Linked DNA regions of Callithrix jacchus. The protein of the gene in region 1 interacts with the protein of each later gene in a pairwise test. Links are inferred from orthologs where the notes say so. Each region holds a gene or a part of one and is shown in the gene's direction. Other genes may lie near its edges.

Region 1 (4,257 bases):
CCCCCAGGCTCTTGCGCTTCTTGGCTTTTTTGTGCTGTTTGGCAGATGATGAGACCTCACTCTGGCTACCCTCTCGCTCCTCCTCCTGCAGCAGCAGCCTGGGTGGCAGCTCAGCTTCAGCCCTCAGATGGGCATGGTGGCCTGGGAGGCTGAGGGACCTGAGCCAGGGACAAGAAACTTGAGGAGCCAGGCTCCAGCCCTGGCCCAGGGAATAGCCCAGCCTGCCCACCACCCCAGGGCTCAATGCCTGCCTGGTTCATGGTCAGTGAGGCCCCAGGCCCAAGAGAGGCTTAGAGCCAGGTGAGCCCAGTCCCCTACAAACCCTGAAGCCCCCTCTCTCCTGCCGCTCCCTACACAGGGGTAGTAGGGGGAAGGTCTTCAGGAACAGAAAGAGAGGGGAGTGAGGGTAGTACTGGTGGACACAAGAATCACACTTGCAGGAGTGCAGGATTTAGGAATCCTACTGGAGTGTGAGCCCCATCCCTGGGCCTGCAGCTCCTTCCCTCCGAGAGCCCCCTCACTTGACAGGCTTCCTCTTTGGACCATGATGGGGCCTTACAGAGACCACGGGCCTGGGGCCTCTCTCCTCTAGTGCCCCAGCCTCCGGCTTGGGCCTCTCTTCCCCCAGTTTGGGTCCTTCCTCCTGGAGCTCCGGCTCTGAGGAGGCTCCTGCTGGGGGCTGGTCTTCACCATGGGTCCCACCGGCCTCATGGGCTGGCACCAGGAACTGGTCTCCCGTCACTGGACACTAGAGGTGACACACAGACCATCTGTCACCATGGCCGGGCAAAAGATATAGGGATCAGTCACTGAACACCTAACATTAGACACCGAAACAGCCTGTGTGCCTCTCCCCTCCTGGAGAGCCCAGCCAGCCAGTTAGGGAGTCGGGGCGCTCAGAGTTCCACCTCTCAGAGCTCTACGGCTCCGTGTTTGAATGCTAAACAGCCTGATGGTCACCTCAGAGGTCTGAGCGCGGCCAGGGTCCTCCGCGAGCAGTGCCTGCCCCACGACCGTCGCCTCCTGGAACCCCGGCCGCCTCTCCGCCCCTGCCGAGGCCATGGCTCCGCAGGCTCAGTGCATCCTCGTCCTGGGGCGGACCCGAGGGGTTGGATGGTGGCCCTGCGCGGACCCCGGAGACCGGCCAGCAAGCGAGCACAAAACTGGGAAGCGAGACCGGCGGCCACCCTCGGCCGAAACTACAAGCCCCAGGAGGCTTTGCGCCAGGGTCAGTGAGCCCTGACCCCGGGGACGGAAGCCACGGTTGCCCGGCAACAACAACTCCCGTCGAGTGGCTACAGCTGGCTGCAAAACCGCTCGAGTGATCCCCTGCCCGAGTGCCGCGGGGGGTGGGGCGCGAGCGGGACCGGGAAGTGGGCTGGGAGCAGAGGTCGTGGAGGCGACAAACGAGGCCGAGGTCGGGGCGGGGACTGGGAGGGTCCTGGGACGGGCGGCCCTCCTTGGTCCAGGTTAGGGTCAGGGTCCCGGACTAGGGAGGAGGCCTGGAGCTGGGAAGGGGGCCCAGGGAGGGAGGTATAGAGCTCGACAGGACTCGGAGCCCCTTTGAAGGGCGGCGCCGGCGGCATGTGCGAGGGCCCGTCCCGTATCTCCGGGCCCATCCCCCCAGACCCGACGCTTTGCCCTGACTACTACCGGCGGCCGGCCTCTGGTGAGTACGGGGGCGCGGCGGTGGCGAGAGGCTCGGGGGTCGGCCTCGGCTCCACCTCTGAGCCCCGCATTCCACCCGGCTCCACCCCACACGCAGCTCAAGGACGACTAGAGGGGAACGCGCTGAAGCTGGACTTGCTGACCTCGGACCGAGCCCTGGACGCCACCGCTCCCCGTGGGCCCTGCATCGGTCCCGGCGCCCGAGAGATCATGGAGCGCCGCCGGCGTGGCGTCGGCGACGTGCTGTTGCAACTTGAGGGCATCTCCCTAGGTCCTGGGGCCTCTCTCAAGAGTAAGTCCCAGGAAGAGAAGAAGGGGCAGAGAGACAGTTTGGGGTGGAAAGACATCAAAGCAGCTGCCCTTTCCCCCCTGACCTCGGCCCAGGCTTTGCTCTCTTGAGTCTCAGTTTCCCCAACCATAAAAAGGGGGAGAAATGTGCTACCTTCTCGGAGGGGAACTGAGTGAGGTAGTTCCCACAAAGTCCTAGCTCTGCTTCATGCATTTATTACCCGTCAAACTTGTGTGCCAGGCCATATAGGTGCTAGAACACAGGGTTGAAGACAAGCATGATCCATCGAATCAAGGTGGGAGACAAAGAACAGGAGATGAATGTCATGTATGAGATAATTAATAGTATACTTCACTGTAATAATGGAGAAAAACAGCTGGGAGCAGTGGCTCATGCCTGTAATCCCAGCACTTTGGGAGGCCGAGGCGGGCGGATCACTTGAGCCCAGGAGTTGGAGACCAGCCTGGCCAACATGGTGAAACCCCATCTCTGCAAAAAATACAAAAATTAGCCCGGTATGGTGGAGTATGTCTCTAATCCCAGCTATTCAGCAGGCTGAAGTGGGAGGATCACTTGAGCCAAGGAGGTTGAGACTGCAGTGAGCTGTGATCATGCCACTGTACTCCAGCCTGGGTGACAGAGTGAGACCCTGTCTCAATTAATGAGAAAAATCATCACGAGATACTAAATACGTGAGGAAGGGAACACGATGATGAGGCAGACGAGAGGTCGGGGGCTCTTTCTGTAAGGGGCGGAGGACAGGCCTGTGTGTGAACTGGTGGAAATTGGATTGTGTGGGCCATATGTAGGGCAGAGCCTTGCAGCATCTGTTCTCTAGGGAAGGACCCTAAAGACCATGAGAAGGAGAACCTGAGGCGGATCAGGGAGATTCAGAAGCGCTTCAGAGAACGGGAGCGCAGCCGGGAGCAGGGCCAGCCTAGGCCCCTGAAAGCTCTGTGGCGTTCGCCCAAGTACAACAAGGTGGAGTCCCGCGTCAAGGCCCAGCTGCAGGTACCTGCCTCAGGGCACCGGATGTATTAGTCATTTTGTTGGCCAACAGGCAACTAACTATATTCTGATCTGGGGAGGGAGGAAAGTCACAGAGGTAACAGAGGACTAAGAGACCCTGACTCTGCTGCAGGGCAGGACTGAGGGGGGCCTTCTCAAAGTCATGATGGGGGGAGCTGATCCTAAGGGGCAAGCAGCAGTTATGCAAGGGGACAGCAGTAGAGAACATTCCCAAAAGATGGAACCTCCCCAACCACAGGACACATAGCAGTGGAGATGCTAGGTACAGGACACATAGCAGTGGAGATGCTAGGTACAGTTCAAAGGCGTGAGGTTAGACCAAGAAGTCAGCCGGACCCACATCATCAAGGGCCACATTAACCACTTTCAGCCTTTATTTCTGAGGACAGTGGGAAGGGCAGAAGTATGGTGGGGGGTGCTCTGTCTTGGGTAGAGAGCAGCACCATCCCTCCATCCAAGGACTCAGCAGGAGGAGTAAGAGTGAGAGGAAAGGCAAGGTCACACGAATGTGTCAGGGCTGAAGCATCTGTGGCGCTCCCAGGGGGTGGGAGTGTATCCAGGAAGCAGATGGAAATTCAGGACTGGATCTGAGGAGTAAGACCTAGGAGTTACTGTCAGGTTGAGGACAACGAGACCAAGGAAGTGACCGCCTGGATTTGAGGACTTGGAGGCCAGCCATCAGGAACTTTGGGGGACTAGAGCCGGAAGCTTGGCTAGGAAGGAGGGGAGAGAGTGGTGGCTGGCCCAGTACTGAGGTAGAAGGAGAGGTGGTTACTGTTTTCTTAAAAATCTGATATCCACACGTTTATGTGCTGATGAGGACAAGTGTCCCTTGAGGAGGGAAGATGCCCCGAGGGACATGGATGCAGAGGTCAGAAGGGCCAAAAGAGCCAGAGTCCTGAGGTTTCAGCCCCAGACCTCAGCCTGCTTGCTCTCTCTGCTGTGCCCTGCCCTCCAGGAGCCTGGCCCTGCCTTTGGGACAGAGTCTGCCCACTTCCTGCGGGCACACTCCCGCTGTGGCCCTGGCCTCCCACCACCCCGTGTTTCCAGTCCCCAGCCAACCCCACCAGGTTCTGAAGCTAAGGTGAGTGGATGGTGGTTGGGCAGGGCTCCCACTGTGTGTCGAGGGGTTCAGGGATACCACATAATGCTCTCTGCCCCCACCCACACTTGCTGTGTCCTGCAGGGGCCAGGCCTGGGGGTGGACTTCATTCGTCACAATGCCCAAGCTGCCAAGAGGGCCCCCCGGAGGCATTCCCGCTCGATGCAGG
Region 2 (4,482 bases), on another chromosome or scaffold:
TAACACAAGAAGAGGGGTCTAGTCTTCTTCGATAGTCTATTTCGAATGCGAGGGTTTTTCCCCCTTTTCCTTGTCTTTTTGACCCTTTGAACATAGCCTACTCAGTTCCCCAGTTCCTAAAGCGCCTCCCACATAGCGGCTTGGGGAGCGCTGTGGGAAGCCCTGGCTGAGACACTTATTGGAACTTTGTTCCCCACATAGGCTATTTAGGAGCGTCTCGGTTTCCGCGGGCGACTCCAGGGCCTCCCTGGCTCTTCTCTGGCTGCCAGCAGGAGTCAAGGGCGGTCCGGGGGGCGCTGACCATGGTCCTGGCCTCGGAGCTCGGGACTCGAGCTCAGGAGGCGACGGCTGAGGCTGCAGAGAGCCGCCGTCGGAACCCTCGCCCCTCCCGACCACCCAGGAGCCGCGGGCCTTCACGCAAAGCCTCCCCCCCACGCTCCGAGCCGCCTCAAAAAAGGGTGGGGCACCCAGCCGCAGCTGCAATAGGAAGCCGCCCGGGAGGGTTTCAGAAGAATGGAACCGCAGCCAACCCTTCCCAGGCGACCACCGCCCGCCCCAGCCCGGGATCGGCCCATCCCCTCTGCCCACCCCCCACCTCCCAAGCTCAAGGAGACGCGGGCAGCCTTTGTGGGCGCACAGCCGCCCACCGCCCAGCCCGAGCCTCGCCGCGCCCTGCGCGGAGAAGGGGCGGAGGGTGCGCGTGCAGATGCGGGAGGCGAGGTCCAGGGCGGGGCATGAAGGCGGGCGCGCCGGGCTCAGGGGCGAGGGAGGGGCAATCCCCGCGCCCCGTCCTGCGTCTCCACCCCCCACCCCCACACCGACCTGGTCGTAGATGTTCTGCAGGGCTTCCTTGCCCGAGGCCCTCCGGATCTCCACCTTCCGGCCCGATTCAACAGATGGCTCCCCGCCGGCGCGCCGGCCCTGCCGCGAGTACGGCGGCTGTGGGTCCGGGCCCAAGTGGGCGACGTCCCGCTGCTGAGCTACCACCTGCCCCGAGCCCCGGCCCACCGACAGCGAGTCGAAGTCGATGGTCTTGTTCTCCGAGGACCCTTCCACCGGGCAGAACATGCCACAGAATTTCTGCCGGGGCTTGGGGCTGCCTGAGCCCAGGTTTTTAAAAAAGGCAGGGACCTCTTCGTCCTCTGCCGCCTTCCCAGACTGCTTTTTCTCGGCCATGGCTCGGGGGCTCGGAGAGGGTCCTCGCCGTCCGTCCGTCCGTCTGCCAGTCCCTAAGTCTCCCTCGCGGTGTGCACAAGCCCCCTAGCTGCTGCAGCGGCTGCCGCTCGCTGCCCACCGCAAGGTGCACAGAAAGGAAGGAGGGCTGGCGAGCCGGCGACCCACCCTCCCGGTCCCTCCCCCTGACCCCGCTTCTCCCCTCCCTGCCCACGCCCCCCGCGGCCACCGCGCGAGCTCGGGCGAGCGGCAAAGTTGGATCTGGGAGGGCGGCCGCTGCGGCTGCGGGAACGGAGAGGCTGCCAGTTCCCGGCAGCGCGGGGAGGAGGGAGGCGCGGGCGGGGCGCAGGCGGGGCGCGGCGCCAGGGAGGGGAGCGGCGCGCAGGGGAGGGCAGGAGGGGAGGGAAGGAGAGAGAGAGAGGGGAGGGCGGCACCGCCCCTAGCCCAGAGCTCCGGAAGTGAAGCGGCCAGACCACCGGCTAATGGATGCGGAGCGGAGGGCTAGCTGACTGCTCTCCGCGCCTGGGTAAGTATCGGGCAGGGCACGCGGGGTGAGGACCGGAGGGCGCAGCCCCCGGCCCCTGTGCCCCTCTCCCCCACCTGCCCGGCCCAGGCACCTCTACCTGTAGTGAGGCTGTGGTCGGCCGGGGTCGAGGGCGCACTGTGGCTACGGCTCCCTCCCCGTTACCCTGGGTGTGAGCTGATGGATGGGAAAAGGGGACCAGCCGGGCGCCAGCCTACTCCAGGTGTGGGAAGGGGGGTGGCACTGAAGATGAACAAGGGGTGACACAGGACGGGGGCAGCCGAGACGCTGGACACCCAAGCTTCAGTTTGCCCACTCGCCTTGGCAGGCTGCAGGGAGCAGAGAGACTAAAACCGTAAGATTCCCGCTTCGTGCATCCACTTTGGTGTGGTTGAGGTGGCGGGTGGTGGTTGGGGGGGGCACAACATGGCGGGAAGAAATGCAGAGTGGCGTAGCAGATGGGAGACGAGTATAGAGAGAGACGCAGGTCTGAGGTCTATAAGGGTGTAGCAAAGAGTGCGGTGCGGAATTCCAGCCCAGTGCCACGTCTTAGAAAGGCGGTGCAGACCCGCTCTATTGCCCAAGGGCGCCATGGACCCTTTCTGCACCACTGCGCCAAAAAGGACGCAGGAACGTGTCGCGATTTGGTTTCTTCTGCTTCCCCCCCAAAAAATAATAATAAAAAGGGGGGGGAGAAACAAATTGAAACCCCCTCCCCAAATCTCCAGCTGTTCCCGGCGCCCCAGCGCCCCGCCTGGCTCCCCCGCCCCTGTTGCGCACTGCGCCACAGACGCGGCGTTTCCCAGGTTACCAGATGCCACGTGTTTGGGAGTGAGCGCGGATGCGCATCTGGTGAAGAGTAGGAGGTAGGTTGTGAGTACCGTGAATTGTGTGGAGCCAAGCGGAGGAAAGGTACGTAGGAACTTGGTGTGCGTGTGCAGGTAGTGGAGCTACTGCCACCGAGGTGGTAAGGGGGGGGGGGCAATTGGATTTGCTGCGTAACGCGGTCAGTGCGGGTTCTTCATTGCTTAGTCCCATCTCCACGTCCTTTCTGCGTATCAGACCTTGCCTCTGCCGGATGACAGCCCCTCCTCTCTTTCCACAGTGGCAAGATCCTGCGGAAATGGTGCCCCTCCTTTGGCGGCCCGGGAGGGAGGTCTGGGCATGCTCAGTAACCTGGGTGGGTTTGGGCTGAGAGGCCGTTTCCCGCAAGGCCACTGCGTAGGGCCTTGTGACCAGGAATCCTGTCCCATTGTCAGCCCAGGAGTAAATGCGGTTACCAACCACTCCCACCGTTCAATTGTAGGGATAGTTTGGTGAATAGAGTTACATCTAGTGGACCACCAGTTGCAGTTTGAAGATCAGCCCACCATGATGGTAGAAAGTCGTCTCCAGATGAGAAAGGGAGACTGAGGAAGAAGAATATAGGAGTGGAGGGGCTGAGAGAACCCGACGGGCCAGATGTGCTTTGCATTTGAATAAAGCATTTGAAAAAAAAAAAAGCGATTCCAACTGAATTACATCATTTCCCACTCACAGCCCCCTGTAAGATTCATGCTTATCAGCACTGCTTTCCAGGTTGGGAAACAGATTTAGAGAGCTTGGTCCAAGGTTGGGTATCTACTTAAATGATTCAACAATTCCAGTGGGGTCTTCCACTTCAAAGTCTGGCTTCTTTTCCAGCTTGTCCTGTGACCCCCTTTATGTGAGAAAATACAAGGTTCTTCTTTTTTTTTTTTTTTTTTTTGAGACGGAGTTTCGCTCTTGTTACCTAGGCTGGAGTGCAATGGCGCGATCTCGGCTCACCGCAACCTCCGCCTCCTGGGTTCAGGCAATTTTCCTGCCTCAGCCTCCTGAGTAGCTGGGATTACAGGCACGCGCTACCATGCCCAGCTGATTTTTTGTATTTTTAGTAGAGACGGGGTTTCACCATGTTGACCAGGATGGTCTCAATCTCTGGACCTCGTGATCCACCCGCCTCTGCCTCCCAAAGTGGGATTACAGGCTTGAGCCACCGCGCCCGGCCCAAGGTTCTTCTATTTCTACCATATTTCCATCTGTGGCCCTATTGTATATCAAGGGTATTTCTTGCCATGTTTTTATTAGAAAGTCACACTACAGATCACATTAGGAGGAAGAGGCATGGGAAGATAGCCTAACTTCAGCGTAGAGGTCATTCTGTAGACCATAGAGATGCTTCTTTCTGGGCAGTGTCTTTTTACATTCTGTTTCCTCTAAATATCCCGGTGGGGGATATTTAGTGTTGTGTTCACAGATGTGAGCCACTGCACCTGGCCCTCCCCCCACCGGCCCCCATATTTTGTTGTGTTTTTGTTTTTGTTTTAGTTTTCAGGCAGAGTCTTCCACTGTGACCCAGGCTGGAATGCAGTGGTGCAAACGCAGCTTACTGTAGCCTTGACCTGCTGGACTCAAGCAATCATCCCTCCTCAGCCTCCCAAGTACTTGGGACTACACACGAGTACCACAAGCTCAGCTAATTTTTTTATATTTTTTTCTTTTTGTAGAGGCAGGGTCCTACTATGTTGTCCAGGCTGGTCTCAAACTCCTAGGCTCAAGTGATCCTCCCACCTTGGTCTTCCAAAGTGCTGTGTTCACAGATGTGAACCACTGCACCTGGCCTTCCCCTCACCGGCCCCCGTATTTTAGAAAGGAAAAGTCAGGCATAGAGAAGTCAGAAGTCTCAGGTCCCTGGGGCTCCTGGGCACAGAGGTGAAGTAGCATTTTGCCCTCCTGGCTCTCTGGCACCCTAGTGTCTTCAGCACCTG

What was found.
Region 2: the proteins of ENKD1 (region 1) and PNMA2 interact in binary tests that used the Homo sapiens proteins (3 or more experiments, as listed by UniProt). The two-hybrid records come from large-scale screens. The link is inferred for Callithrix jacchus from reciprocal best matches to the Homo sapiens genes ENKD1 and PNMA2.

What each region holds. Positions count from the first base shown.
Region 1 is NC_133521.1:25,174,356-25,178,612, reverse strand, and holds the start of ENKD1 (enkurin domain-containing protein 1), read left to right. Parts: upstream 1-1,266; 5' UTR 1,267-1,584; coding exon 1,585-1,669; intron 1,670-1,765; coding exon 1,766-1,960; intron 1,961-2,795; coding exon 2,796-2,968; intron 2,969-3,330; exon of another isoform or gene 3,331-3,561; coding exon of another isoform or gene 3,562-3,573; exon of another isoform or gene 3,574-3,944; coding exon 3,945-4,070; exon of another isoform or gene 4,071-4,172; coding exon 4,173-4,257. Other genes in the region: C20H16orf86 (uncharacterized protein C16orf86 homolog), read right to left, coding at 1-158, 522-748, 961-1,062. UniProt on the Homo sapiens protein: Microtubule-binding protein which regulates microtubule organization and stability. Promotes the stability of astral microtubules and facilitates the proper orientation of the mitotic spindle.
Region 2 is NC_133514.1:15,061,065-15,065,546, forward strand, and holds the start of PNMA2 (paraneoplastic antigen Ma2), read left to right. Parts: upstream 1-1,642; 5' UTR 1,643-2,051; intron 2,052-2,508; exon of another isoform or gene 2,509-2,608; intron 2,609-4,482. Other genes in the region: DPYSL2 (dihydropyrimidinase-related protein 2), read right to left, coding at 823-1,176.